4 linked regions of the Notamacropus eugenii genome follow. The protein of the gene in region 3 interacts with the protein of the main gene of each other region in a pairwise test. Links are inferred from orthologs where the notes say so. Each region holds a gene or a part of one and is shown on either strand. Other genes may lie near its edges.

Region 1 (7,583 bases), on a different chromosome or scaffold from region 3:
CCTCACCCCAAAGCATCAAGTCACAGGTCTGCAAGAACTCCACAGCCTTCTCTGGTTTGTCTGTGAGCCCACTGGGACCAGGGTAGGGCTGCTCGGAGGCTGGCTCAGTGGCCTCAGGCAGAATTGGTTAGATGCCTAGATACCTTCTGGGAGCTGGACTAGGCACCAGACAGAGCGGGGAGCTGGGGCTGGTCTAACAGCCAAGGAAGTGCTGGGGGAGGGGGGGTGACCCCCTCTGCCACACCCCCTCCCCCTCATCTCCCATTCATCCATCCACAAAGTTGCCAATGGGACTTTCCTGAAGTTTGGGTCTATCACCTCTCCAGCCCCCGCAGCCCCCCAGCAGGGTCCCCACAGCCCGGGAGCTGGCCTGCGCACTCCCTTTATGCAAGCACAGCACTCCATCTGTCCGCCTCCAAGGGTTGGCTGAGGGGGCCATGGTGGAGAGGCACCCCCCGTACCTCCCTTGGCCCGGGTCTCCCCAGAAGCACCGCAGGGGCTCAAGTACTCCAAGACACTTTTTATTTGGCTGGCGAGCCTCCTGCCCCTCCCTCACCTAAAAAGAGGGAGTGGACACGCCCAAACACTGAGCCCCAAGCTCTCAAACCAAACAAGTGCAGAGTTCTCTTCCGGGGGAGATTATCTTCGTTTCTGGAATATGTTGCCCCGGCCCATTCCGCGTCCTCTTCCTCTGGCAGCCACTAGATGGGGAAGAAGACAGCAGAGTAAGTGGGGCCGGCAGGGGAGTGGCTGGGCCTCTGCTCCCCTCCCACCTCAGGCCCAGGCTGCAGGCTGCCTACTCACCCTGGGCCTTCAGAATGGCCGCTTTCCCTCGGCCAGCCCCGGAACCTTGGTTTTTGTTCTTCATGCTTTTCAACATCGGGGCATTCTTCAGCATGTCTGGCAAGATCAGGAAGCGGATTTTGCTCCCTCGGATGTAAACCTGCTCCAGTTGGGCGACCCGTCCATCTCTGTATGTGACTGTGATGTTGGACATCTGTGAGGGAAACCAGTAGTCGGTCAGCATCCCTGCCTCTGCCTCTGAGGGTAGGGACTGGACCTCCACCCCCTACAGAGCAATGGCTGCGGGAGAGAGGCTGACCACAGACTAAGCAAGACAGGCAAGAGGCACAGTGAGGGCAAAGGCACGGAGATGGGAGGTGGGAGATGTGATCCAGAGTGGCTGGATCCCAGAGAGGGGCCAGATTATAAAGGGAGGCAAATCCAAACAAAGTCTTTTTAATCCCAGAGGCAACAAGGAGCCCTCTGGTGGGGGGGATGCTGAGGAGAGGAGTGATCAAGTCAGATCTGTGCTTTCTGAAGACAAAGCACAGGCAGGGGCACCCACCAGCAGGCCGCTAGCACAGAACAGGTAGCAAGAATAGCAGAGACACAGCTAAAGGAAAAACAGGCCTTGGCAGCAGACTGGAGCCAGAGCGGGGATGGAGGTGAGGGTGGCGGGATGATGCTGTCCTCCATGGCTATAGGGGAAGAAGCGGGGAGGAGGACTCGGGGGATGCCTATGAGGCATGACATCCAACTGGAATGAAGCACGGCTAACTGGCGATGGGGACAGAGAGGTCAGAGCTGGAGAAGTGTTCACACTGAGAATGGAAGTCACAGGGGCGGAGCTGGAGGCGATGCCCCTTCCACCTCTGAGTCTCTGCCATGCCAGACATGCCATGCCCCTGGCACACCTCCCAGGAGGCCCTGGGCTCCCTATTCCCTCGCACCCCTTCAGATCCAACATGGTGCTAAAGCCCAACCATTTCACCTTGGTGGCACCCTGCTCCACACCTGGATGGATGGCCTGCCTCAGTCTCCTCTCCAGGACATCATTCAGCCAGCGCAGGTCTGAGCATATCACCCCCACCCTCCTCCTCTATAACCTTCAGGATCAAGCACAAAATGCTGCCTGGCCTTCAAAGCCTTTATAATTAGACGTCTCCTGCCTTTCTTGGTACCTTACACTTTCTCTGCTCCAGGTCACAACATTCCATTTCCCACCTCCGTGCCTTTGAATTCAATGGCTGCCTCATGCCTACAACACCCTCTCTTCTCCCATCTCTGGGAGTTGAATCCCACCTTGTCCAAGAAGCCTAGGTTGGTTCTGGTTCCCCCATCATCCAGAGCTGCTTACCTGTTGTCTCATCCCTCAGACTGGGAGCTCCCCAGGGGAGGGGCAGGGTCTGCCCTTTTCTCCCCAGCACTGATTTTGCCTGGAGTGCGGCACAGAAATGCTTACTGAGTGCCTGCCTGCCCACCAGCTCTCCCTTCCACTTCTATCCCCAAGACAGCTGGCTCTGAGCTCGGCTGTCCAGCCTCCACACCTGCCAGCACGGGCCATCCAGCCCCGTCCCTGCAACCTCAGGGCAGCCTTCCCATGAGGCTTCTCTCCAGCCTCTATGACCTCCTTCTCTGGGAAGCCTTCCCTGCATCCTCCCACTGGGAGGCCTCAGACGCCGGGTGGGTGACCCTGGGCAATGGCCAGGCTCCTCAACCATAGACTGGGATCCTAACAGAGCCTGCCCCAGGCCTGTCTGGACCTCAAAGGAGACAATTAACACCTGCCACAAAATGAATGTCATTAGTTGTTACTGTCATTACTACCAGCGGGGAAACCGCCAAGGCTGCCAGCCTGGCACCTGGCCTGACTCCTATGTCTGTGCTGCCCAGCCCCTCTGGTTCCTGCAGCCTAGGCCGGGCTGCTGACCACACGTGACCTGGGGTGGGTAGGGTCTCTCCCCTCCATGTCCAGCAGCCAGCCTCGGTGCCCACCTGCCCCCCATGTCTGTGCTGCCCGGCCCCTGCACCCTAAGCCGGGCTGCTGACCACACGTGACCTGGGGTGGGTAGGGGCCCTCCCCTCCGTGCCCAGCGGGCTGCCTCCACCTGCCCCCCATGTCTGCGCTGCCCGACCCCTCTGTGCCCAGCGGCCAGCCTCGGTGCCTGCCTGACCTCCATGTCTGCGCTGCCTGGCCCCTCCGTGCCCAGCGGCCAGCCTCGGTGCCCGCCTGCCCCCCATGTCTGCACCATCCGGCCCCTCCGTGCCCAGCGGCCAGCCTCGGTGCCCGCCTGCCCCCCATGTCTGCACCATCCGGCCCCTCCGTGCCCAGCGGCCAGCCTCGGTGCCCGCCTGCCCCCCATGTCTGCACCATCCGGCCCCTCCGTGCCCAGCAGCCAGGCTCGGTGCCCGCCTGACCTCCATGTCTGCGCTGCCCGGCCCCTCCGTGCCCAGCGGCCAGCCTCGGTGCCCGCCTGACCCCCATGTCTGCGCTGCCCCGCTCCTCCGTGCCCAGCGGCCAGCCTCGGTGCCCGCCTGCCCCGTATGTCTGCGCTGCCTGGCCCCTCCATGCCCAGCGGCCAGCCTCGGTGCCCGCCTGCCCCGCATGTCTGCGCTGCCTGGCCCCTCCATGCCCAGCGGCCAGCCTCAGTGCCCGCCTGCCCCCCATATCTGCGCTGCCCCGCCCCTCCGTGCCCAGCCGCCGCGCTCGGCGCCACGCCGTACCTGGCAGTTCATGTTGTCCTCCGCCTCGATCAGCTTGCCCCGGTACACCTCCCCGGTGTTGGTCTCGCAGGTGACGATGTGCCCCTCCGCCTCATGCAGGACCTTGATGGGCACACCGATCGACATTCTGGCGACAGCGAGAACCTGCGGGGCCCAGCGGGACACGTGAGGCACTGGAGCCCAGCCCCCCAGGACCCAACCGGGCAGCGACAGCCCGGAAACCCTGCGCCAGGCCCGGGTCCGAGTGAAGGAGAAGACAATGGGGGTCCTCCTCCTACCCTGGGGAGGAACAAGCATTTAGGCGGCACCTACTGAATGTCCGGCGCTGCACCGAGTAAGCGCCTCGCAGATGGGGGGCGCTGTTATTAGAGCTCGGCACGCAGCTGGGAGGTGTACTTGGGGGGAGGGGCTCCGGGTGCAGGAAGGCCTGGGGGGGGCACTGAGGCAGGCTGCCGCCCCGCCGCTGGTGTCCAGGTGGGGGGGACAAATTCCGAATCAGGGCTGGGGGAAACAGGGAGTGGGGATGGGGCTCCGCCCCCAGCCTGGAGACCCCCCCCTGCGCCCTCCTTCCCGGGGCCCAGGGCATCCCTGGAGGAGGCTGAGGGAGGCCCTGCCAGAGAAAGGCGCGGGGGCGGGAGGCATGGCCTTGAACGCCGAGCCAGAGCCCCTCGCCCACGCGCTACTCTCCCCCCGTTCCCGCCCCCCCCCCCGGTTCCCATTCCCCCCGCCCCGGGTCGCGCGGACCCCTCGGCCCAGGCCTCACCTGCAGCCCCCGCCCCGGCTCCGGTTCCGGCGGCGCGAACGTGCGACAAACAGCGGCAACTGAATGGCGGGTCTCGCGGTCCCAGCATGCACCGGGCCCGGAAGCGGGGTGGGCACTTCCGGGGATCGCTCCGCCCCTAGACAGCCCGGTGGGAGCGGGAGAAGAGACTCTAGAGGCTTACAGGGGCGGGGCCTGAGGGCGGGGCCCATGGCGCGTGCTCGAGAAAGGGGCGGGAAATGGAGGATGGGGGCGTGGCCTGGGTTCGGCCTCTGCGCCTTGCGTGCCGCGTCGGTGGCGCGCTGTGCGTGCGCTAGCGCATGCGCCGTGAGAGATTTCGCGTCCTCCCGGGAGCGGCCGTGGCGGCGGTGGGGCCGGAGAGGGGTTGAGGAACCGAGGCGGGGGCCGAGATCCCGGGCAGAAGCGGATCGGGCCGGGGCCATGGCCAAGGCGCCTCCACAGCCCGAGCCCCGGCCCGTCCGCCCGCAGGCGGCATGAGGGAAGAGGCCGAGGGAGCCGGGGCCGAGCCCGGTGAGGGCAGCCGGGGAGTCTGAGGCACGGGCAGGGGGAAAGGGAAGGGTTATGGAGTCAGCCCGTTCTGACAGCTGGGGAGGCTGAGGCACGGCCCAGGGAGTCCGCTTACGGGGTCCTAGATCGGTCTCCCAGCGGGGGATACTGAGGCACGGCCCAGGGGTCCATGTACGGGGTCCTAGCCCGCCCTGACCAAGACTGAGGGGCACGGAATTAGCATCTCCTGGATGCCCAGCCTGGGACTCTGCGGGAGATCCGGAGGCCAAAGGCCCGGGTCCCCTAGGGCGGAGGAGCCCCAGGACTGGCCAGGGCGGGGACGGAATTTGAACTTCGGCCGGGGCGAAGGCTCCCAGGGCGGAGCCAGCACATTGGGAGGGGCGGGGCGGGGTCACTGCTGGACCATGGGGGGAGGGCCCCAACCCCGCCCTCCTCCGATGCTAGTCCTCTGTCCCAGGCGACTTCGTGCAACTGAAGGTGCCCATCGTGCAGCAGCTGTACCACTGGGACTGCGGGCTGGCCTGCTCCAGGATGGTGCTCAGGTGAGGCGGGGCCCGGGCTGGTGACCCCTCCTCTGACCTCCGGGATTGGCCGCTGGCCCACCCGGCACGTCCCTGTCCCCGCCCCTTCCGCGCTTGGGGTTTGGGAGGTGCACCACTCGGGCCCGCCCCAGTCCCTCCCTCAACTCGGTGATTGGTCGGTGTTCCCTTCGGCCCCTCCCCTGTCCTTTCAGAGCTCGGTAATTGACCCCCTGCGGGTCCCTGTCTTCTGTCTCTTTCCCCGCTCCCGTAGTTCGGGGATTAGTCGGCCCCACTCGGCCCCGCCCCAGTACTGTGATTGGCCGGTGACCCACCCGCGCCTCCATCTCTTTCCTCCCCCCTCAGGCCCCGCCTTCCCCCGCTCCCTGAGCTCGGTGATTGGCCGATGGTCCACCGTGCCCCGCCCTCAGCTCAGTGATTGGCCGATGCCTCCCCTCTGCTCCTTCCCCAGCCTTCCCTCAGAGCTCGGTAATTGCCTGGCGTCTTCTCCCTTCCCCCGCTCGGGGATTGGCTGCTACCCTGCCCGGGCCCGCCCCAGTCCCTCCCTCAGCTCGATGATTGGCCAGTGGCCCACCCGCGCACTCCCCCGCCCCAGGTACCTGAAGCTCCTGGAGGACGACGCTGCCTTCGAGCAGGCGCTGCAGGAGCTGCAGCTCACCCGGAGCATCTGGACCATCGACCTGGCCTACCTGATGCGCCACTTCGGGGCGCGCCACCGGTTCTGCACGCGGACGCTGGGCGTGGACAAGGGCTACCGGAACCAGGTGTGGGGGAGCCCCGCTGTCCCGGCTGGGAAGGGGGCCTGTGCAGGGGGGAGAGGGGGATCCCAGGCTGGCGCTGTTACCCTCCCTGCCCGGGCCGTGCCTAGGTCAGTGGCCACCGCGGCCTAAACGCCGTCTTCTCCGCTCAGTCCTTCTACAGGAGACACTTCGACGCCGAGGAGAGCCGGGTCAACCAGCTGTTCGCCCGGGCCTCGTCCTGCAAGGTGTTGGTGGAGAAGTGGTGAGACCCCTCCCCTGCCCCCGGGCACCCCTGAGTCTGATCCCTGCCAGGGCCCAGAGAGAGGGTGGCGGCTGGGCTTCAGGTCCTGCTGCGTGCGCTCCTTGACAGTGTCCATGCTCTCCCTGCTCTAACTCCCGTGGTTGGAAAGTGTTTATCCAAGAGTAGCCTTGATGCTGATTTTACACATGGGGAAACTGAGGCTTAGCGAGGCCACGCAGGTAGTAAGGGACAGGCTCAGCTCACAGCCTCAGCCCACCCTCCTGGGCACCTCAGCACACATGTGGCAAAGCTGGCACTGCCGACAGCCCCCATCTCCCACGGACAGCTCTGGTGCCATTCCGCCCTATCTTCCCAGCTCAGCCTTGAGAGCTCTGCCCTGAGCCCTCCGTGGATCCGCAGCTCAAGGCCCTTCTCACCCCAGCTTGCCCAGACCTGACCCCGAGGCCCCAGCTGAGTCCCACCCCGAGTACCTGATGCCCCCAGGGCACTGCTGCTCCCAGGAACCTCACTGGTATCATAGTAGTTGTTCTTGGATCTCTTCTCTGCCCCAGTCTTCCCCAGACCTATTACCTTCCTCGTTTCTCATAGCTCAGTACTGCTCCATCATAGCTACAGCCCAGATTGACCAGACATTTCCTGGTTGATGGGCCTTGCCTCAGTTTCCAATTCTCTGCTCCCACAGGAAGAGCTATTATTGATATTTCTCCTCTTGCTTTGGTCTCCTTGGGGTAGATATCTAGGAGTGATACCAGTGTTTCCTGCCTCTAGATTCTTCCAACCCCTCCCACATGGCTCATCTTTGGTCAGCTTTGCCCATCTGATGGGGCTGAGACAGATCCTTGGCGCTGGCTGGTTGGCATTTCTCCAATAAGCAGAGATTCAGAGTCTTTCTTCACATGGCTCTTAATGACTTAGATTCTTCTATTGAAAAGTGACCATTTATCGATTGGAGAAGGGTTCTCAATGCTCCCTATGTCATCTTAGAAATGACACTTTATCAGAGAAACTCACTGGGAAGGTTTCCCTTCATCTTGCTGCTTGTCTTTTGGGCCCTTTGGGTCACTGAGCCTTGTCTGCCCACCGGGCAACCTCTGTGGCAGAGCTAGCCCTTCCAGGACCCTCCCTCCCTCCCTTGTTCTCTGTCACTGCCATTGTCATGACCATGACTTTTGTCCTCATTCCGCCAGACCCTGTTAAGGCCATCCTTGGAGCTCAAATCCCTTCCTGGCTGTCAGGAGCCTCTGAGG
Region 2 (7,338 bases), on a different chromosome or scaffold from region 3:
ATGACTGTAGGAGATGGGCTCTTGGTAGGGGAGCGTGGGGCAGGAGGAAGGAGAGCTGCGATTCTTGGGTGTCTCAGCTTATTTGCATGTTAGTGGTGGGGTCGCTGGTGATGCATGGAATGTTTTGTTCCATGGTGGCTGCAGGAACAAGGCTAGAAGTGTAGGAAATGCTGTTATTCCTGGGATTTTGGGGTTCCAGATTCTGAGCTGCCTCTCCTTGGGTCTGAGAAGAGATGGTGTCATGGTAGTAGAAATGGTTTGACTCAGCTGTCACATGCTGCCTGCTCCCTCAGGGTGCTGTGCTGAAGAACTCCTGGCAAAAGCACTTTTACCATCAAATTTAGAATCAACTCTTGAATTTTACAAGTGAGGAAAGTGAGGCCCAGAAAGGTTAAGTCACACACAATGAGCAGTAGACCTGGGATCAAATCCAGGTCTTCTGACTACAAATTCAGTCCTCTTTTTATTGGGTTATATTGCCAACTCTGCCTTCACCAAGAGTCACTGTTAACATAGAGCATAGGAGGCAATCAGTCAATATTTTTTTTAAATGAATCCATCTATTCATTTGAGTAAAAGAATCTACCATGTATTTTATTAGAAAAATATTGTTTACAGAGACTTGGCACCTATCTAAAAATGCCAGAATTCTATAAGAATTCAAAATCACATTTATGTCTGATAGAATTATAAACTTCACAATTTTAGGGGGAGGGTTATGGATTAAGGGAAAAGTACAAACATTATATGAATAAGCTACCAGTTAAATCCTTGCTATCTCCAAACCGTGAAAAGCTGTTGGGTGTAAACTTAACAGCATAGCTGAGGGGACGGAGAGGCAGGAGGACCTGGCTTTGAATTCTAACTAGGATACTTACTCACCACAGGCAAAATCGCTTAACTTCCCCAAACCTTCCTTGCTCGTGGGGACAATACAACAGTTAGTATCAATCTCACAGGGCTACTGTAAGGCTCCACTGAAATAATGCACCTTAAGGTTTTACAAATGTTAAAGCTCTTCTAATCACTGAGCTAGATATTCCAGTATTAGCCAGTTTATGTATATGTAACCTTTGTATACTCATTCATCTGTCGTGTGTGTGTGCGCGCACGCGCAAAGCAAGCAGTCAGAAAAAAATAGCTCCCAATTTTTATTGGGACTGCAAAGATCATCTAGTGCAATCCACTCATTTTACATGAGTTTGTCCCTTGCAAACAACTGACTGTTCTGTGGACTTTTGTCCTTAGAAATAACTGGCTTGTTACCAAGTATTTTTAAACAGCAGAGCACTTCAATTTCTGCCTCTTGCCCTGATCAAACCACAAGAAAAGATTAAAGCCAAACATTCCATGAACACTGCTCAAAACTGCCATTAATTCTTGTTCTTAACAATATACCCCACAAGAGTACGTTGCCCTCCCCCCACCTCCCAGCTAGAAAGGACCTTGCTGTACCTTTCATTCCCCCTTTAATCCCTGATTTTATAACCCACAAAAGCTATTCCAAACTTTCTCTTTTTCCTTTAGCTTCCCATATTTTCTACTACCCCCACCTTCTTGGCTGAGAACTTTATCTCTCTTTACTGAGAAAATGAAGACCAATCCTCACAAATTCCCTTCTCTCTTCATCTCACAAGCCTTTACTTTCATCTTTTTTCCTTGAATCTGATCATGAAACAGTCTTCCTCTCAAGGCTAACGCTTTGGCTCCCTCAACCAACCCACTCCTCTGATCTTCAACCTCTCTTTCCTCTCCCTGTCCATTGGTTCCTTGACCACTGTCTTCAAATATACCCATCTTCACTATCCTTTAAAAAAAATCCTTCACTAGATTCTCAGATTATCTTAAATTATTGTCCTAAATCTCTCCTTCCATGTGCAGTCACACTCCTAGAAAAAGTCAGCACTTATTTCCTCCCTTCCTCTCATCTGACTCACTCCTTAAGCCTTTATAGTCTGACTTCTGAACTCCTCCCTCATCTCTCATAAAGTGTCAACAATCTCTTAATTACCAAGTCTGATGATTTCTTCTCAGTCTTTATCCATATACATGTGTACATATATGTACACACACATATATATGCACTGCATTTGAAATTGATTACTCTTTTCTCCTGAATACTCTATCCTTTTTGGGTTTCAAGGAATTATTCTCTTTCAGTTCTCCTACCTATCTGACCACTCCTTCAGTCTCCTTTGCCAGCTCATCATTCATATTACATCCCCTTACTGGCTGTATCCTGGGCTCATGTTTCTTCTCTTTCTCTACTCTCTCTTGTTGACCTGTATCAATCCCTATGGGTTTGATGATTTTTATGCAAATGAGGCACAGATCTATATGTCCAGTCCCAATCTCTCCCCTGAGCTTCCATTCCAAATTACCCACTAACTATTGCACATTACAAACTGCATGTCCAAGGGACATCTCAAACTTGATATGTCTAAAATACAACTCATTATCTTCTCTTAAAAAATCTTTTTATCCCTCTTCCAAAACTCCCATACTTCTATTAAAGGTACTCATTCTTCCAGTCTTCTAGGTTCCTAACCTCAGGGTTATCCACTCTCCTTCATCCCATATATTCATTTAATTGCTACATCTTATAATTCCACATCTAACACAACTCCTTTTCTCCACTCAAGACAGTCACCGTCCTAGATCAGGCCTGACTATTCTCTTGCCTGCCTATTGCAATAGCATCCTAATAGGTCTCTGTCACTCAGGTCTCTACCAATCCAAATCTGTCTTCCACAGAGCTACCAAAGTGATTTTTCTTAAGCACAGATCTGATCTTACTCAAACTTCAGTGGTTCTCTATAACCTGTAGGATCAAATATAAACTCCTCTGTTTGGCTTTTAAAGTACCGGCCCCAACCTATCTTTCTAGCATCATTACATACTACTTCCACTCTATACACAAAGCACTCCATTTCCCCTCTCCACACCTCTGTACCGGCTGTATCCCATTCCTAAAATATACCCCCTCCTCACCTCTGCCCCAAGGCAGAGATTAAAATCAAGCACCACCTTCAAAACCGAGCCTTTCCTTTGCTGGTGCCCTTCCTCTCTAAATAAACTGTATTTATATTCTGTACTTTTGCTGTGTATATATTTAATTAGGTAATGCTGTATCATGTTTAGCTACTTTACAAGTATTGTACATTTATGCCATATATATATTCTCACACGTATTTGACTCCCCCATTAGGATGTAAGTTCCTCTTAGAGTAGAGATTATTTTGTTCCTTTTTTAAACCTATATCCCCAAGTGCCTAACACCATGCCAGGCACATCGCATATTGCTTAACGCTTGTCCGAATAAAGCCTGTTTAGTTCTTTGTATTTTTATCTCCAGCACCCAGGACAGTTGCTGGCACGTAGTAGGTTCTTAATAAATGCTTGTGGATTGACTAATTCTCTAAATTGACCCCTCATTTTGGAGGTGAATTAACAAAAGCTGGAAGGGTAAGGGGGAATTCCTGATTAGTCCGAAAGTAACAAAGTAGCAACCAAACCGCGGCCCCACCTGGCTTTGCCATTAATAGCCACGCGATCTCGGTCAAGCCTCTGAACGCCCTCAGCCGCCTTCAATTTCCTCATTCGTAAAATGCTACAAGTTGTAACTGACACCACCTGTGTAACATTGTCAGCGCCAGGCTCCAGGGGAACACGCGGTCAACGCTTAAAATCCTGCGTAGCTCTAAGCATCTACCTTTTTTTTGTACGCAGTTGGTTCCCCTTTTTGTAGAAGTTGTCCGCACCTTCTCTCCGCCGGGACCTGAGCTTTTCTTTGTATTTGTGGCGCTTAAGCAGTACCCGGCACTCAGCCGGCGCTTAATGATTGCTGATGGATTTAATTTCGAAAGGCTCGTGTTGAGTTTCAGTAAAATGGAGGACTGCAGGGAGAGCCGAGGCTGTGGCAGTCTAGAGTGAACTTTAGCTCCCAACCCAAACCGTGGCCCTATTTCTTGTCTCCCACGCCCCAGTTCAGGACCGCCTGGCCTGCCACTCACACTGGGGAGATAAATGGTGCAGGCGCCCGGGGGAGGCCAAAGTGGCGATGCGAGCCACCAGGAGGAATCTGAAACTCCTTTACTATCCGGACTTCGGGCACCAGGATCCCCCCTCCCACCCGGACTCCACCATTTCGTACAGAAAGGCGGCGGGGCAGCGAAAAGCGCAAGCCGCTCACTCCGGACGCGGGCTGCCCCAGCACGAGGTGCCAGCCCGGCAGCCCGAATTCCAGCAGCCGCTCCTCCACCCCACCCCCATCCCCCAGCCTCGGAACCTGCGTGAACAGGGGCTACGTGCCGCGCGTGCGCACAACCCGCCCGCCTCCCCCTGCGCCTGCGCGCTTCCCGACACCCTCCTCTTGACCCCTCCCCCAACTTCTTCGGGAGGGGGAGGGGGGATGTCGAAGCGAGTCATGATGGTGGCGACCAGGCCCTGATGAACTAGCGGATTCACTCACTGCCTCCCAGACCCGCCCGCAGTGCTGAGGACGGACTCCCCACCGGCCCCGCGCCTCGGGGAGAAGGCGATCGCGGCCGATCACGCCGGGGGAAAGCGACAGCGGGAGCGGCGGCGGCCCAGGCCCGGGGGAGAGGCCGCCCCGCAGGGTGAATGTGACCAACCCCACCGGCCACCTCGACCTCCCTCCCAGCGGGCCCGAGAGGCCGACCGAGCCCACAGCAGCCATGGCGTCCGGGGGCGGCGGCGACACCATGCAGATCACTCTCAAGACCCTCCAGCAACAGACCTTCAAGATCGACATCAGCCCTGAGGAGACGGTACGGAGGGGAGGGCCGCGCGGGCGGGGGGAGGGGCGGGAGCGCGGGCCGCGAGGCGGGCCCCCTCCCCCACCCGCCCTGGGGCCCGGGGGGGCCGGGGGGACTCGAGGAGGGGGCGGTTGGGCGCCCCGGCCCCGGCCCGGCCCTGCGGGCGGCGCTGGACGCGCGGGAGAGCCCCACGAGAGCTTTAGGAGGGGCGGACGGGGGGCGCCAGCGCGGCTGCGCGGACCCGGGGACTCGGAGGGGCCGCGGGCGGGGGGCAGTGCGGCCGGAGCCTGGGGGGGGTGGGGGGGCCGAATCTGCGCGGGGGGCGGGGAGGGCGGGGAGGGGGAGGGGAGCCTCGGGAAGTGCCGAGCTTGGGGGTGGAGCCCGAGGCTGTGGGAGTCTGGGTGGGATTGGGGCGGAAGCCGCGGGAGGACCTGGCCCGTGGGAGGGCGGTCACGGAGGCTGGGGAACCTGTCTCACCGGGATCCGCAGTGGGGAGAGGATCTCCGCAGGTGTGCCTAGGCCAGGAACGCCCCCGAGTCCGGCGCCATGTGCCTGGTGGCACCAGGACCCCTGCTGAGCCAGCTGCCCAGCGGGCGAGGGGCAGAGCCTCGTGGGTCTCTCATGGAATAAAATGGCAGGGTTGGGAGAGACCAGACCAGACCCTTGGTGCCCTGGAGAGCTGCATTAAGTCTCATCCTCCCGTGTTAAAGTTTAGAACAAGCTACCGTAAGCGTTGCCCGCTTTAGTGCCCACCGCCGTGAGCTTCTGTGGCAGTTTGGGCGCTTGTGACAGCTAAGAGGGCTGAGGTCACTGCCAGGGTATTCCAAGTATGGGCCAGTCCTGAGAGCGCAGGTTTGCCAGTTAGGCTCTGCCATGGTCTGTGCCAGATGGGAAGCCTCCCGCCTGACGTCCAGGTGGAAGGGCCTTCTCCCTGTTTGATCTCGTGGCAGTTTGTGTTTGTTTCTGCTCCTTGATGGAAATTCCTTCATCCCCTAGTTTGCCTCTTATTTATATCTGTCCCCCTTAACATCTGGCAGACCACGAGCTTAATCAGTGACTCATGTTGATGTTAATGGCAGAAGTTATTTTTTCCTGAATGAAGAAAGGTGGCCATTTAATATGGACTTTTTACTGGACAGCCACCCTTCTTGGTCCAGGAGGAAGGACATGGAGTCTTGCTCTATATATTTATTAAAATCCCGTCCAAGTCCTTAGATCATTGCATGAGAAACCTAGTTTAGTTGTGTCTGACTCTTCTGTGACCCTGTTTGGGTTTTTCTTGCCTCATTTTTCAGATGAGTAAAATGAGGCAAATAGGGTTAGGTGGGTGACCCTGATAGTAAGCATCTGAGGCCAGATTTGAACTCAGGAAGACTAAACTTTGTGACTCCAGGCTGGCACCCTGTCCACTGCTCCGTTGACTGCCTCATATAAAAGTATAGTACAGGAATTCCTAACCTGGAATTGTGACATTTAATAGGATTTTTGAGTAGCAAATTCATGTTTAAAAATAACATTTTTACCTTAAAAACTTGTCTTACGTAGTAGCTAGGATACAGTGAACTGGGCCTGGAGCTGAGTTTAAATCAGACTTCAGAAACTTACTAGTTGTGTGAGCCTAGGCAGGTCGCTTAATGTCTGCCTGCTTCACTTGGTTCAGCTGTAAAATGGGAGGTCGGAGAGCACCTAGCTGGGAGTGTTGTGGTGAAGTTCAGAGGAGTTGGTTTTTGTAAAGTGCTTACCAGAGTGCTAGATACTTGATAAATACTTACTCCTTTCCCTGGTTCCCTCTTGGAATAATTACTGACTGCCTGTTAAGGAGTTGAGAATCACTTAAAATCTCCTTGAATTGTTTCTTTACTTTCCAACAGGTAGAAAAACAATTTCTGTGTGTGTTGTTGGTATGAACAAAATCAATTGAACAAATATTAAGTCCATTCTGTCTGTGGAGCTGGCGGTGAGAAAACTTGGATGTGATCTCTGGACTCAGAACTTTTACTTTAGTAGAGGGTGTATGAGAAAAGTTAAAGTCACTTGATAATATAAGTGAAGTGCCAAGTGCTTTTTGAAATAGGAGAGGGTGGTCATGTTTCATGGAGAGTGTAGGTGCTTGAAAGCAATGCTGTCAAATTCGGAAAGGGATCTCTGCAACTGCATATTGACTTAGAAAACCACAAATGAACATTATTTATGTTTTATTATATTTTTGAGTTCTGTTTTAGTTTGTTTTGAGTTTCTCTTCTTTATGAAAGGAAATCAGTTCTAGAGTTCACCATGCATATCTGTATAACAAAGAAATAGATTGGTTAATTTTAATAGTATATTTATTTACCCCCAAATTCCCTATATTTCCTTTACAATTACTTCAAACCCCATTCAGTATGCAGACTTCAGGCCTTCAAAACTTGGAGTGGATCTGAACCATATTAAAATACATTGGGAAATATTTAACAAAAGTAAAATACAATATAACATTAATTATGTCAATGTGTGGGGTTTTTTTAAGTCGGTATATGGCCAGTTGGGCTGCAGATCTCGTAAGGGCCAGTTTCTGTTTGAG
Region 3 (7,462 bases):
ATCAGGGGAAGATACTGTGGATACAAAAATAAAGGTTTCTGTGCTAAAGAGTTGATGATATAAGAGGAAAGATGCGTTTACAGATAAGCATAATACATATGCAAGAAAGCCAAAAGTTCATCATTATGGGTACTCCCTCCATAGTGTTGACCTGAAAACTTGGTTAAAGAAAAGGCAACAGGCTAATTGCATACATTTTATGATTTAATTAATTAATCAATCAATTCCCTATTAAAGGTAACGGTAACATAATGCATTATGGAGCCAGAAATGTTCTGGCTACCCAGTGCAGAAATCTTCTGGCTTATATACATTATGCTGTGAGAAAGGAACTTTCCTAGTTGAACAAATCATAAATTTAGTAAGACAAGACAATTAACAAAGTAATGTTGGTCAGGCCTTGCAATTCCAGCTGGGTAAACATATGTCTCAGTGACGAGAAAGGAAATCCCACCACTAGTGAGTGGCAGGCTTCCTGCCCTAAACAGATAACTGACATAGGAAAAGGCTAAACAAAGTTCAATAGAAATTACGACCTAAGATGTCTATTTTTCTTTACCATTAATATGCCATAACATAGTATATGTCTATAGATAATAAGATACAAAGGAAAGCCTCATTATTCAAGATATAGTGTCTTAGGTTAAAGGTCTTCTTAAGGAGTGTAGAGTCGGCCTTGGCTGGCTTTTGCTGACATAGGAAGAGGCACTCTCTGAGTTTGCTTCAGAGAGAACAAAGAGATTATTCTAAAATTTTATATTAAACATTATCAATAGAAAGAGATCAAAACCCTTTCTGACCTTGAGAGATGGCTAATAGGAGTTACTGTGGACTAATAATTCATTGCTTGATGGCCAACCTTCTGGTGATGAACATCTCCAAATAAAGCTAGGCTGGGAGTCTGTTGTCTACTCATATTTAAAATCTTTCTGGCTCAGTAGTGTTGGCAGAGTCTTTGCAAGTTTACATTCTTTTCCATTTCATAGAGAGGTAAGAGTAAAAATTTAGTAGGTTCCAGTCTCTGACTAGAGAGATGCTTAGAATTATACACATGTAACAATGTCAATAGGGAAGTAAAGAGGTGGGAGAGTGGGGCAGAGCAACACAAAAACAGAATATTTATCATGTTAGGCCTATACTCAAGCTGAATGATATTCCTGACAGATTATGAGGAGATGTTGAAAGAAGGAAAAAGAATATGAAGTAGAAAGAAAGGTAGCGATCACTAAGTTTTGTGTGGTTTTGTGTTTTGTTTGGGGTTTGGTTGGTGGGGAAGGATTCAGAAATGTGAGCATGGAAGAACTCCCATTAGGGAAACTCCACCTATGAAACTCAGCAAATGTAACCCATAGTTTTGGAATTGCCTGGGGCACTAAGAGGTTAATTGATTTAGCCTTATTCACACCACTAGCATATGGCAGAGGCAAGATTTGAACCCAGCTTCCAGATTCCAACACCAGCTTAACCATTATCTGTGGTTCTTGGACCATATAATCACCCAAAAAAAGAGGTACAGGGATAGGATATAAAAAAGGTTCAAGGACAACACCTGAAGAGCACACACTGAGAAGTTTCCTGAATGTAATCAGAAATAATAAATCAATTTGTTAATCAATTTGTTAAGCCCAAGAAAATATTACAATGACATAAGAAGTAGGCAACTATATGTAAGACTAGGGATTTGCTGTGGAAATCATTTAATCAACAAGTGGCTACTGTGTGCCAGGCATTCTGCAAAGAGCTGAGGAAAAGAAGATCAAAAGGAAGTAGTCCCTGCCCTCCAGAAGCTTACAATCTTTCAGGGGAAATCACATGGACACAAAATAAATATAAAATATGTACATAGTCATTGGGGAAAGCACAGGGGTCAGAAAAGTCTTCATGGAGGAAGCCCTCTCTAGCTCAGCTTTGAAAGTAATTATGGATTCTAAGAAGTAGGAGTGAGGAAGGAATATAGCCCAGTAGGGGAGGAAGCAGCCTGCACAAAGGTGTGGAGACTGAAAATGGAATGTGATGTTTAGGAAACAGCAAATAAACCTGTTGGGTAGGACTGTAGAGTGTGTGAAAAGGAGAGCTGTGGGCCTGGAAGGATACTGTGAAATCACAGATTTAGAGCTAGAAAGGATTTTGGAGGCTATCTGCTTTTAGAGGTCATCAACATCATTTTACAGATGAAGTACAGAAAAGTTAAGTGACATGCTCCAATGTCTGAAGGAGGATTCAAACTCAGGTCTTCACGACTCCAAGTCTAGTGCCCTATCCCCAATTCACCTGGATGTCAAGTGGTGTAGATGGAGACTCTGAAGGACTTTGAATTATAGAGGTGCTGGTATTTTTTCTTATCAGCAATAGGGAGCCACTGGAGCTTTTCCCTTTTTTTTCTGACATGGTGCAACAGCTTTAGGAATGTCACTTTGTCAGTTCTGAGAAGGAAGGGCTGGAGAGGAGAGAGACTAGATGAGGAAGCTATTGCAATGATCAAGATGAAAGGTGAAAAGGGCTGAAACTAGGGCAACAGTTGAGTAAGTGCAGAGAAGATGCCAGAAGTTGGAGATGTTGTAAGACTTGGCCGCTAGCTGCCTATCAGAAATGGAACATGACTGAGGGTGTGAACCTGGGGGACTGGAAAGATGGTGGTGTTCTCGATACAAATAGGATGATTAGGAAGAGGGGTCAGCTCCAGGACAATAGAGGAAAATGGGTCATGTACAGGACACCCAGTACAGCTTGTTCAGGGATCAATTATAGATAGAGGACTGGAGCTCAGGGAAGAGATGATGGCCATTGTAGACGCAGAAGTTACCTGCATTGAGATGACAGGTGAACCCGTGCAAGCGATGAAAAGTTAGAGGGCATCGAGGACCCAGGACAGAGTTTGAGAGAGCAGGGCCTGAGTGGTGATCCAACAAAGGTGGTCGTGCTAATTCCTGGACTGGGAACATGGTAGTGATAAGGAGACTAAGGATTTGATTGTAGAGACGGAGTAAGGCAAAGTGGTAAATTCTAGAATTGATGTTTGCAAGGGAGGAAAAGGAAAGTGAGGGCAGAGCGGGGAGAAATGATGGGTACAATGAAGGTCAAAAATAGGTTTAGGAGGAGCAAACCATCCTAGGATAGGTTGGAGAAAGGACTTTCTGAATTCCTTACCATGGAATTGAATCAAATCAGGAAAAGTATAAGGGGTGTGTGTATGTGTACTCTCTCTCTATATTTAGACACACCATATGTACGTTCTGCATGGTTACGTAGACTGTTCCTAGATGTGGATCTGGAGAGAACCTCAGAAACTGTCCAGTTCAAACCCTTCCTTCGACAGAGGAGACTGAAGATCAGAAGGTTTCATATTTAATCAGTGACAGGGTCATTCACTCTTATGCCAGAACCAAGGATTTTTCACCAGTCATCAGAGGGTCATGTCTGTCATTTTCTGACCCGGGTTTTAAGACCGGGACTAGAGGCTTAGCAATGACTGCCTTACCAGGTCAGGGCTTCAAGGCGGAAGGGAGAAGAAACAGACAGTAAACTACAGGTCTAGCCATTAACCTCATCAGAGGCTTAAACCCAGCCGTGAAATGAGATGGAGCCCAAAGGGAATGCTCTCAGGGAGACGACACACACAGCAGGGCCTGGGGTGGGGGGCGCCGGCGGCCTGGGGGTTCAGGAAGGCCTTCTGTGGGAGCTGGTGCTGGAGCTGAGCCGACTCGAACGGGGGATGCCCCGGGGCAGAGAGGAGGGAGGGCATCGCAGACCGGGCCAGCCTGCGTGAAGGCAGAAAGGTCCAGCAAGGTCACCCGGGGCCGGAGGGGCCCAGCGCGGCGGAGGGGCCCAGCGCGGCGGAGGGGCCCAGCGCGGCCGGAGGGGCCCAGCGCGGCCGGAGGGGCCCAGCGCGGCCGAGGGGCCCAGCGCGGCCGGAGGGGCCCAGTGCGGCCGAACCGGGGCTGGGGGGGCGGAGCGGGGCATTAATGGGGTACCAGGAAGGCTGGAGTCTCCGTTGGGAAACATGTTAAACGCCACAGTTCGAGTTTGCTTCGGAGCCACCGGGGCTTCTGAGCCCCGCTCCTCTCGGGGATCCCAGCCCAGCTTTGGCGAGCCGGGGAACGATGCCCATGCTAAATGCTGGGCTGGCATCGCTGCCCGGGGACGGGCGAGGGGGCACTGAGGGGGTCCGGGCTCCCGAGGGGGAGGACGGGCTGTTAGGTGCGGGGCGCTGCAGAGGTCCGAGCTCTCCAGTCCGGGTCAGGCCCGCCTGCGGCCCCCCGGGAGCACCGTCCGAGGACGCGGCCCCAGGGGTCCTCGGGGTCCCCCCAGCCCCGGCCCGGGGCGGGTCAAGGACGCGCCCTCCCCCGCGGGGTGCCCGGCGCGCGTGGCCGCGGCCTGGCGGGCGGGGCGGGCGCCTGCTCAGTGCAGGGGGCGGGGGCCGGGGAGGGGGGAGGGGGAGGAGGCCGGGCCGAGCCGAGCCGAGCCGCAGCCGGAGCGGGATGGCCGCCGCCGCCGCCGCGCTCGGCCCCGCCGCGCCCGCCCTCTCCAGGGCCGTGTCCGAGCTGTGCCAGAACCCCCGAGAAACCTTCCTGGAGGCCTCCCGCCTGCTGCTCACCTACGCCGACAACATCCTGCGGTAGGACCCCCGCCCCGCCCCCGCCGCGGGGTCACGGCCGCACGTGGTCGCCGGGCCGGGCTGCGGGGGGCCAGCCGGGCGGGGGGGCGGGGTGACAGCGGCGCGCGCCCCCGGGGGCCCGGGAGGGGGAGGGGCAGGGGTCCGCGGTGCGGCGGAGCCGGGCCGGGACCGGGGAGGGGGAGAGGGGGAGGGGTCCTTGGTGCGGCGGCGCGCGCCCCCGGGGGCCCGGGAGGGGGGAGGGGGTCCTCGGCCCGGGGCCGGGGAGGGGGGGAGGGAGAGGGGGGGGGTCCTCGGCCCGGGGCCGGGGAGGGGGAGGGGGGAGGGGAAGGGGAGGGGTCCTCGGCCCGGGGCCGGGGAGAGGGGGAGGGGGGGGAGGGAGAGGGGGAGGGGGGGAGGGAGAGGGGGAGGGGTCCTCGGCCCGGGGCCGGGGAGGGGGGGGGGGGGAGGGAGAGGGGGGGGTCCTCGGCCCGGGGCTGGGGAGGGGGAGGGGGGAGGGGGAAGGGGAGGGGTCCTCGGCCCGGGGCCGGGGAGGGGGGGGGGGGGTCCTCGGCCCGGGGCCGGGGAGAGGGGGAGGGGGGGAGGGAGAGGGGGAGGGGTCCTCGGCCCGGGGCCGGGGAGGCGCCGCCTCTGCCTTAATGATGGGTGCCCGGGACACCCGGGAGACGCGGGGAGGCCGTGCGCGGAGGTCGGGCTGGGCGCACGTCCCCTGGCCCCCTCTTGTGCGTCTGCCCCCGGGCAGTGCCCCCCCCCCCACCCCGCCTTGGGCCCTCGGTTTGATAAACGCGCCCGATCCCTGCCGAGAGTGGGACAAGATTCAGAGTCACCGCTGCGGCTGCCCACCTCGGGGCCTTTGCCCCGGACGGTGTACGGTTACTTGGGCACCGCTGGCCGTGTAAGCCGGTGTGTGCGGGCCTGCCGGGTGCCAGAGGACATGCCACCCTCCCGTGCCCGCTGCGCCCCACCTGCCCAGGAGGCCCGGGGCCGCGGACAGTCACCCCCAGATCCCCTTTACCCCCGCCCCGAAGAACCGCGGACTGCTTGGTGCCCCTCCAGCCGTCTGGGCATGGAGCTGTTTGTAAACAACTTGGCAGCGTTATCCGGGACCCGGTTCTTGTCTCAGCCTTAAAATGAAACCAAAACGCTTAGAGCAGATACCCCTGATCAGTGAGATGTCTGCCTGGTACTACCCCTGGCTTTGGGGGGCGTTCTGAGGTGTGTAGGTATTGATCAGCACGTTCACTGAGGTTCTTCTGAGGCCTGTGCACAGGCATGAGTCCCAAGCTCCCCCCACCCCCCGCTGTGTGTGTCTGTCTGTGTGTCTAATCGAGAAAGGGGACAGGATTCGGGGTGCCTAGGGCAGGTGCAGGAAAAGCCTGGGAGTTGACATTTAACCTCAATTCTTTCACTTCCCCGACTAGCCCCAGCCTGCAGGTGCTGAGGGGCCCTTGGCCTCGGCCCAGGGCCCTCCTCAGGGGCTCTGACCCCTTTCTTCCAGGAGTGACCCAAGCAGAGTTACCTCTTGCATTTACAGAAAAGCCTCCAGATTGTTTTTATTTTTTTGTACCTTGCCTGGATGCCTCTGGCAGTATGACTGCACCGAGGACTCTCCCTCCTTACAGAGCTCTACAGACATTGAACTTCAAACTTCCAATACAAAGTGTGGACAGATCTTCACCTTTCTCCATTAGGATACTAACTCACAGATTTTTGTTTTGTGAACTGAAAATCCTAGAGTCAGGGAGAATTAACCACAAGATGCCACGGTGTCTGCAACATCGACAAACTGGTTCTGACCCATTTGTTTTACTTCATGATGAGTGACTAAAGCTTTACTAAAGACAAAATGGTAAATGACTTGCCAGAAATGAGTATCTTAGTAGATCGGGAAGTATTTCTGGACCACCCAAAGGAGAGCTTTGCACTCCGGTGCTTAATAAAGTTAAAAAATCACCATTTAAAAAAAGTTATAAGCCCTGCCGGACATCCTCTCTGTCAGCTGCCTTGCCCTTTTGGACTTTGGAAAGAGGAGCCTTCCATTACGTTTTCAGCTCTCACTCCATTTTCACTCAGATGCCCTCTGGCAACTGAACCAGCCAGCCACTGATTGTAGCTTTGTCAGAAGTTCAGTGATCTCTTAATTGCTTAATCCAGTGTCTCGTCTCAGTCTTCATCTACCTGCAGATTTTGATGCTGCAGATGCTTCCTCCTGGTTCTCTAGATGGGCCTTCTTTGTGTCCCTTGAGGGAAGAGAATCTTTCTGCCAGTGTTGTTCTCTGTCTCCACACCAAAGCTTGTGCATCCCCAAAGGCTGTCTCCTGAGCCTCTGATTCCCTCCCTTAGTGATCCAGCATATCTTGAAGTGTTTCCCCCCATTAGAATGTGAAATTGTTGAGGAGAGTGACTAGCTAGTATGCTTTCACTTGGAGCCTAGCACTTAGCCCATTGCCTGGCACATAAGAATAAGTACTCTAGCTATTTCAGCTGCTCTCACTGGTTCCTTGATCACTTCAAGTGACTCCCAAAGCTGTACAGAGATCACAGAGTATAGAATTGGAGATTTGGAAGCCACCACTGCCAAAGCTGTCTCGTCCAGCCCATACCTGAAGGGCATCCTCATTATTTCATGGACAGGTGCTTGTTCAGCCTCTGCCTAGAGAGCTTCCATGGAAACCTACTGCCCCTCGAGGCAGCCCTTTCCATTTTGGGGCCAGCTAACCTTGAAGATTTTCCTAATACCCAGCCTAAATTGGTGGTTTTGCAGTTTGCATTGGCATGGAGTTTGATACCTCTTCCATATAACAGCCTTCAGATACTTGAAGGCAGCTTTCATGTCCCCGGAGTCTTTTT
Region 4 (7,432 bases), on a different chromosome or scaffold from region 3:
AAAATCTTTTCCTCTCTGACCAGTTATATTGGCTCTGATATAATTCAAAAGAGGAGTACCTCACACATGGTTTTGTTATTGGATATTGTATCACAGCATCTGGTATACTGTGATAACATGGATAATGCTGTAAACACCCTAAAGGAGAGTAAAAATCTTTAGTTTGTTATTTAATTACTTAAAAGAGCTTGATTTTTTAAAAAATATCCTTGCAAAACAGATTATGTTTGTTTTTTAGAAAGGTGACATTATTAAGTAATCCTAAGACTATTTCACTTTCATACTCATATCCCCAGGATCTAGTATAGTGATGGGCACACAGTAGGCTCTTAATAAATACTTACTGATAAATCCAAATCATAGATCTGGGAATGGAGGTAAAGGGTAATACTTTTGTTTCCTCATCAGTCACCATCCCCAAACCCGTAGAAAGTGAGGAAAAGTGCTGAAACATTACTGTTATACATCAGATAAGGGGCTTTTCCTACATTAAAAAGGAAAGTTGAAGAGTCGTCTTTGAGGATCACAGCCTTCCTAAGGTGACCTATGACCATAGGCACCTAGCTACTCCCCAAAAGATCAGATACATGATGCAGAACAAAAGAACCCCAACATTCCCCCCTTTCTCTCTACTTACTTAGGAAACTTCTGGGGCTGCCCCCCAAAAAAAATCCTTCCACAAACCTCATTAGAATAAGTTTTGCTTTTCCAGAATGCTACTCACTCATTTAGCGAGCTTGTAATAACAGCTAGTATTTAAATAGCATTTTGAGGTTTGAAAAGCCATTACAAACCTTATCTCATTTAAATTGGATGCCTTTATTTTACAGATGAGACAACTGAAGCTGAGAAGTTAGGGCATTTACCCAAGGTCATACAGCTTAGTAAGTGTCTAAAGGCAGGACTTTGACTTAAGTAGAACACTGATTCCAAGTCCAAATTCTATATATTGAGCTACCTAGCTTTTGCTGCTAAATGATGATTGCCTCTCCTGCACCTCTAAGAGCCCTCTGAATGCCAAAGTTAAATGAATGTCACCCCTGAGATGTTAAATAATAAGGACAAGGTCTCCAGCTAGTTGGGGAGATTTTATATGGAGCATAGAAAGGAAAACATAAACAAGATCACTAGATTGAGTCCCCTCACTTACATTCATTGATCCACCAAAGTATCACATTTATATAATACTTAAGATAGATTATCTTATTTGATATTTACAATAATGCTATGGCTAAATATATTATTATGTCCATTTTATAGACAGAAACTGTGTGGCCTTAGTCTAAATAGTATAATGGACAGAGAGATGGATTTGTAATCCAGACAAACCTGAAATCAAATCCTGCCTCTGATGCTGACTAGCTGTGTGATCCTGGGCAAGTCACTTTATATCTCTCAGACTTGTTTTCCTCATATGTCAAATAGTAATAACTAATCTTAAAGGGTTCTTGTGACAAACAATTCAGACACATGTAAAGTATTTTGCAGACAGAGATAAAGGAAAGATAAAGGGAAGGAAGAAGGAATGAAAGAATGAACAAAGGAAGGAAGAAAAAAGAAACTGCCCCTGTATTATTATTATTTTATTAATCTATCCCTCTTTGCATTACTGAAGTTTATTTGTGTTGGTGGTTAAATTGATTATTATTTCAGGTAAATCCCAATTCGAATGAGTCACATTAAGTACATACAGAAGTCACATAGTCAGTCCTAATCACAGGTGAGTAAGCTTTGCTTTCTGATACAACAGACAAACAGTACCAGTATACATTGAAAATGTTCTTTATTATCACATTCCTTTTATGTCTCTTTTAGGGTCTATTCTCAGGGGGGAGGACAGCTACCCAGACCCTCATCTGGCACCCAAACCTCCTTCCAAAGAAGCTCCCAAAGCAAAACCTCACCTCAGAGTATATATACACTTTTCTGAGGGCATATACTCCTGACTCAGTGCCTCATTAGCAATTAACAAAAGGTGTGGTCCTTCTGGAAAAACAAGACTCCCCTAATCTGAGGCCCATTGATGGGCAGGGAAGATCTTTCATTAACATAAATCTCATTAACATTACACCAAGCCAAAACTCATTATCACACCCCATTCAACACCCTCACCCCAAACCTCACAAAGTTCCCCATTTCTACTGATAGCCCAAATAGTCTCACAGGTAATCATGCTTAAAGCCTTAGAGTCACCTTTGAGTTTTCCTTCTTTCTCACTCTATACATCCATTAATTCATCAAAACCTGCCAATTCTATCTAGAGAGCTATTATGGTGTGAGTTACAACCTCCTTACCCTCAGTTTCCTCATAAGCAAAGTGGGAATGATAATGATACAGATAATGGTACAGAAATTCCTTTCACTGATGAAAATCAACAACTTTCTAATTTAGAGTCTCAGAGAATTTATTAGGCCATGCACAGAGTTAAGTAATTTAACCAGAATCATACAGCTAAAACATATTAGAGATAGACTTTGAAACACTTCTTTCTGACTCCAAGGCTAATTTTATGTACTATACCATGGTGCCTCTCTTATAAGGGTAACAGACATCTTGAAATTTTCAAAGGAAAAAATAAAAAGCAAAACAAAAAAGCTTTCAAAGCAGTCTATGTGTAATACATCTAAATACATTATTTCACTTAAGCCTCACAAAAACCTTGTGAAGAAAAAACTAAAGGGATTATTACTTCCATTTTACAGATGAGAAAAATGAGAAAAGTTAAGGGATTTATGCAGTCACACCAGTATCAGAAGTAGATTTTAAGCTGTCTCTCTTGACTCCAAATCCAGAATTTTTTTTATGATACCATTTTGCTTCTCTAATAATGATAACAAATATCTTACAGGGTTCTTATGGAGGCACAAATGAGCTATGCCTACTCTCTCAGTAATCTTATCAACTCCTATGGATTTAACTACCATCTCTAGGTAACTGACTTCCAGATATATGTTCAGTCCCAAGCTCTACCCCTAAGCTTCAGTCTCAATAAATGATTGCTTATTGGATGTTTCAAACTGTATGTCCATTCTTGTGAGCTCCTTGAGAGCAGGAACTTTTTCGGGATTGGGAGTTTGGGGGGGAAGGAGTACTGCTTTTCTTTGTATGCCCTGATGCTTAGGTAAAGTGCCTGGCACATAGTAGTCACTTAATAAATGCTTGTTGACTGACTAAATGGTACAAAATTGAATTCATTGCCTTTCCCCTTAAATTTTTTCCTTTAAGAGACTTCCCTATTTCTGTCAAAAGCATTTCCAGTTTTCCAGTCTCTTGGGTTCATAATGTCAACACCCCTTCATATACTTTTTTATTTCAGGCAAATTGGACTGCTTTCCACTCCCTTTGTCCTTTTTAAGTTCTTCTAACTCTAACTCATCATAACTCTTCATGCCTGGAAGAGACTCCTCCCCATCCTACTTCAACCCCATCCGTTTCAGTTGAAATCCCTTCCTTTAAGTTGTAGGTCAGGTGTTACCTTCTTCCTGAAGCCTTCCTAGATCCCTAAATTAAGTCTAGTCTGATAAGGCCTTTGATGAAAACAGATTGGCCAGGCTTATGACTCTTCGACTGTTCCCCTTAAGGCATGAATTACAGTCTCTTTTGGAGAAGGATGAACCAGATTCCAAAGAGATTTATGCCTCCGGGCAAACTATATTTAGACACTACCCTTGTGGATATATATAATCTTCATGGTTATGCAAGCAATTTATCTCTCCTCAAATCTCAGACTATTTCTGTACCACCACGCTACATCTTACTGTTATTTGTGTATTTATTTTTTTCCCCTCTACCCTTCTAAACTATAAGCTTTTTAATGGCAGGTAGTATGCCTTAATCTCTGTATCTTGTTGGAGCAGCTGGGTGGTGCAGTGGATAGAGTACCAGTGCATGAGTCAGAAGGACCTGAGTTCAAGTCTCACCTGTGTGACCTTGGGCGAGTCACTTAACTCCAATTGCCTCATCCTGGGTCATCTCCAGTCATCCTGATGAATATCTGGTCACTCAAAACAAAGTCAAGTGCAAGTCACGTCTTTATTTCTCTGATGGCATGGTCTTCTTTGGTAACAAAGGAGGAACACACACACAATTCAACTAGTACAGTGCCTTGCAGATAGAAAACATTTAAAAAAGAAAACATACTTGTTGATTAAAATTTTAAAATCAGTTTAATTAAAATTCAAAAAATGTAAACCCATTGAGAGTTGGGTTTCTTTGATTCTTTTTACTGGTACCTCCAGAGCCTAGTACAGTGTTTCGCACATCCATGTATCTAGACCTATCTCCTCAAAAATAATGTTTATGCTGGACAAAAATGATTGCTTTATTATTACCAGAAGCTAGAAACTATCTCTGGAATGGGTCCCTGCTTCCAGTATGGGAGCGTGTGCCTTGAAACCAGTTGAGGGGCTCTTTCTGTAATAGATATGTACGTATACACATATATATGTATATACACCCCACATACATACATCATGTATCTATAGCCGATTGCATTTTAACGTAATTGGCTACTTCTGTAACACAAATATTGCTCTGCGGAGTCCCTAGGCTTTACCCTACTGGTAAGTGTTACGGACCCTGCTCCAGAAGGTGAAAGCAGTTGTTACAGTATCAAACACCGAAGTCTGGACGTCCCGGCTCCTCGGCCCCTCTTAGCCGAGCTGGGCAGGAGCCCCGAGGGGGCGGGGCCCGGAGGCAGGTGGGGTGACGTCAGGGTTTGCGGGGTGTCCCCGCAGCCATCCTAGGAAGGAGCAAGCGTGTACTACGCTTCCCTCCCACCCACCCCGGGAAAAAGTAGGGAGCCGGAGCCCGACCCCGGGCCAGCTCCTCCAGCGCGGTGGAAGGGGAGGCGCGGCGGCGGGAGCAGGTGCGTCCTCGCCGGGTGGCGGCGGTTGCCCGGGTAACACGCTCCCCGGAAGTCCCCGGAGCCTCGAGGAGAGCGAGCCGGACCCGCGGCTGCACTGGTCCCAGCGGAAGATGGCGGAGGGCGGGGCAGCTCGCCCGGGCGAGGACCGGGAGGAGGAAACCGCGGCCACCCCGGCCTCGGCCCCGCCGACCCCGGGTGGGCATCGCCAGGAGAAGAGGCCTTCGGGGTCGCGGGCTGGGCCCAGGCCTCCCACCGCCCGCGATTTGCAGGTAGGGAAGGAAAGGAACGGCGGGGGCAGCCTGGGCGGAGCCGGGCCCAGCAGGGGGTCGGGGCCCGAGAGGAGGGGGGAGCGCTCCCGCCCATTCTCCGCACCTCCCCCACCAGCTGGTGCCCTGGGCGCCTCGTGCGGGAGGGGCTCGAGCTCTGAGGTCCCCAGCCCCGGGAGCCCCTCCCCGGCTCCCGCAGAAAAGAGGGCCCTGGTGGAGGAGTGGGCAACGGAGGAACGAGCGAGGGAGGCCGGGCCGGGGTCTCCGCTGGCTCCCCGAGCCTTTCCCGTGGTCACCGCGGGAAGGAGCCGCGTGTCTGGATGCACGAGGGTCAGTGGAAGTTAAAACTTGGTGGAGATTCGCTCCCGGACCTTATGGCCCTTCCCCTTCCTCCTCCTCCACTCCCAGCCTGTTTTCTCTCTGTCGAAACCCTGTTAGCACTCCTCTTTTGCAACGTCCGGGCTCTCTGGTGTTGTACACATCTTACCAGAAGAAAGCCATCGTGTAAAAGACGTTCACCCAGAAGCATGGCTACTTAAAAGAAATTCTCGTTTCCCTGCAGCCCTGGACTGTTTTAAAGAGCACAGATTTTAATAAATGTTTTATCTAGGAAAAGATAGCCTTTTGTTTCTTCCATCTTAATAGTGGTGGTTGTGACTTAACCCCTTTTCCTCGAGAGGCTGTTGAGTGGGTAGCCTGATCAATCAGCAAACATTTATTAAGTGTCCGCAGTGTGGCAGGCAGTGCTGGGGATACAAAATGTCTAAAGAGGGTTCCTGCGCTCAAAGAACTCACAACGTAGTGGAAGAGACGAACAAATACGGACGAACAAGCTATATGTAGGAAAAATAGAAAATAATTAAAAGAAGGAAGGCATTAGAATTCAGAAGGGTTGGAAAAGGCTTCCTGTAGAAGAAGATGAGACCCAAAGGAAGCCAGGAAAGGCAGTAGGCAGAAAAGTAGTGGACAGAGGTGGTAACTTTTGGTCAGGAAGATCTGAGTTCAAAGCTCACACTACTGAAATTCATTAGCTCAGTGACAGTCTTTGAGCCTCTATAGATCTTTTCACTATGCTGATAAATTTAGAAACGAAGTGAAAATATAAACAGTTGAAAAAAACATGGTTGTGCTGGAAAACATCCGAGAGAGAGAAACAATTTGATATAATAGATTGTTACATATACATGCCGTGTCCAGGAAAGCTCACACTCTAGTAAATTTCAATGCTTTACCTGCTGTGCCAGGCAAATACTAGTAAACACATGGGTATGTTTTCCATCCTTGAAAATCTGTATCATAGGAAAGAACATTCAGTCAAGGTCACTAAGCCATTTTAGAAATAGCTACAGTTTTTAAGTAAAAAAAAGGTTTAATTGATCTCATTAATATATATAATATGCATGTTTTCAACTCATCCAGCCCTTCTCGTCCCATGCAATTCTAATTACATCCTGTCATAAACCTGTCTTAGAGCATCTATCCAACTCATTGAAGATTCACAGTTATTGCCTGCCTTCACTATGATTGTCACACTTACTTTGCAAATAATACATTTCTTACAATCCCTGAATGATATCTTTTACACCATTCCTTGTGTAATTTTACATTCCTTTGCTTAATTAAAAATATTTTATTGATGCATTTCATGTTTTTTACACCACAAGCACTCCTCAAATAACCTTTTCTCCTCCATAATACTTTATTAAAAAATTAAGCATAACTGATTTAGCAACCAGGCCTCACATCATAAAGAGAATGTAGTATTCTGTACACATAGTCTACCAACTCCAAGAAAGAGGATCTTCCAACATCAGTTCTCAGTGAATAATGTTTGTTGCAGTATCTAGTCTGAATTACATTGTCTTCATTTACATTATGATTGTTCCTTTTACATTATATTCTCCTTGCATTATAATCATTTCTTTGTTCTGTATCTGTTCTTTGAAGTTTTCCCCGGTTTCTCTGAATTCCTCATATTCATTCTTTACAGCTCAGTAATATTTTAATAGTATTCAAATACGACAGTACATCCAGCTGTTCTTTCCATTGCCCTTTGGGCCACTCACAATTTTGATTCTTTGAAATTTATGATATTCTATGATTTATAGCTATATAGCATAGTATCAAACTAGAGTTTAGTAACTATTCTATTAGAGAATATCCTTTTTTAAAAATTTATTTTTGTGTCAAGAAACAGTTTTTCATTAAGGATACTGTATAATTTCCCAGAGGCATTCTTTTCTTCCTTCCATTGTATGGAAGATTGATTAGAGTAGGGAGACCCTTGAGTCAGATAAA

What was found.
Region 1: the proteins of NGLY1 (region 3) and GUCD1 interact in binary tests that used the Homo sapiens proteins (3 or more experiments, as listed by UniProt). The two-hybrid records come from large-scale screens. The link is inferred for Notamacropus eugenii from reciprocal best matches to the Homo sapiens genes NGLY1 and GUCD1.
Region 2: the proteins of NGLY1 (region 3) and RAD23B interact in binary tests that used the Homo sapiens proteins (3 or more experiments, as listed by UniProt). The two-hybrid records come from large-scale screens. The link is inferred for Notamacropus eugenii from reciprocal best matches to the Homo sapiens genes NGLY1 and RAD23B.
Region 4: the proteins of NGLY1 (region 3) and UBXN2B interact in binary tests that used the Homo sapiens proteins (3 or more experiments, as listed by UniProt). The two-hybrid records come from large-scale screens. The link is inferred for Notamacropus eugenii from reciprocal best matches to the Homo sapiens genes NGLY1 and UBXN2B.

What each region holds. Positions count from the first base shown.
Region 1 is NC_092875.1:1,749,694-1,757,276, reverse strand, and holds the start of GUCD1 (protein GUCD1), read left to right. Parts: upstream 1-4,582; 5' UTR 4,583-4,761; coding exon 4,762-4,798; exon of another isoform or gene 4,799-4,822; intron 4,823-5,252; coding exon 5,253-5,337; intron 5,338-5,929; coding exon 5,930-6,098; intron 6,099-6,244; coding exon 6,245-6,336; intron 6,337-7,583. Other genes in the region: SNRPD3 (small nuclear ribonucleoprotein Sm D3), read right to left, coding at 640-701, 805-997, 3,508-3,633.
Region 2 is NC_092872.1:21,550,783-21,558,120, reverse strand, and holds the start of RAD23B (UV excision repair protein RAD23 homolog B), read left to right. Parts: upstream 1-4,338; 5' UTR 4,339-4,697; coding exon 4,698-4,790; intron 4,791-5,255; exon of another isoform or gene 5,256-5,562; intron 5,563-7,338. UniProt on the Homo sapiens protein: Multiubiquitin chain receptor involved in modulation of proteasomal degradation. Binds to polyubiquitin chains.
Region 3 is NC_092874.1:28,791,450-28,798,911, forward strand, and holds the start of NGLY1 (peptide-N(4)-(N-acetyl-beta-glucosaminyl)asparagine amidase), read left to right. Parts: upstream 1-4,443; 5' UTR 4,444-4,478; coding exon 4,479-4,615; intron 4,616-5,394; exon of another isoform or gene 5,395-6,461; intron 6,462-7,462. UniProt on the Homo sapiens protein: Specifically deglycosylates the denatured form of N-linked glycoproteins in the cytoplasm and assists their proteasome-mediated degradation. Cleaves the beta-aspartyl-glucosamine (GlcNAc) of the glycan and the amide side chain of Asn, converting Asn to Asp.
Region 4 is NC_092875.1:276,950,849-276,958,280, forward strand, and holds the start of UBXN2B (UBX domain-containing protein 2B), read left to right. Parts: upstream 1-4,417; 5' UTR 4,418-4,978; coding exon 4,979-5,137; intron 5,138-7,432. UniProt on the Homo sapiens protein: Adapter protein required for Golgi and endoplasmic reticulum biogenesis. Involved in Golgi and endoplasmic reticulum maintenance during interphase and in their reassembly at the end of mitosis.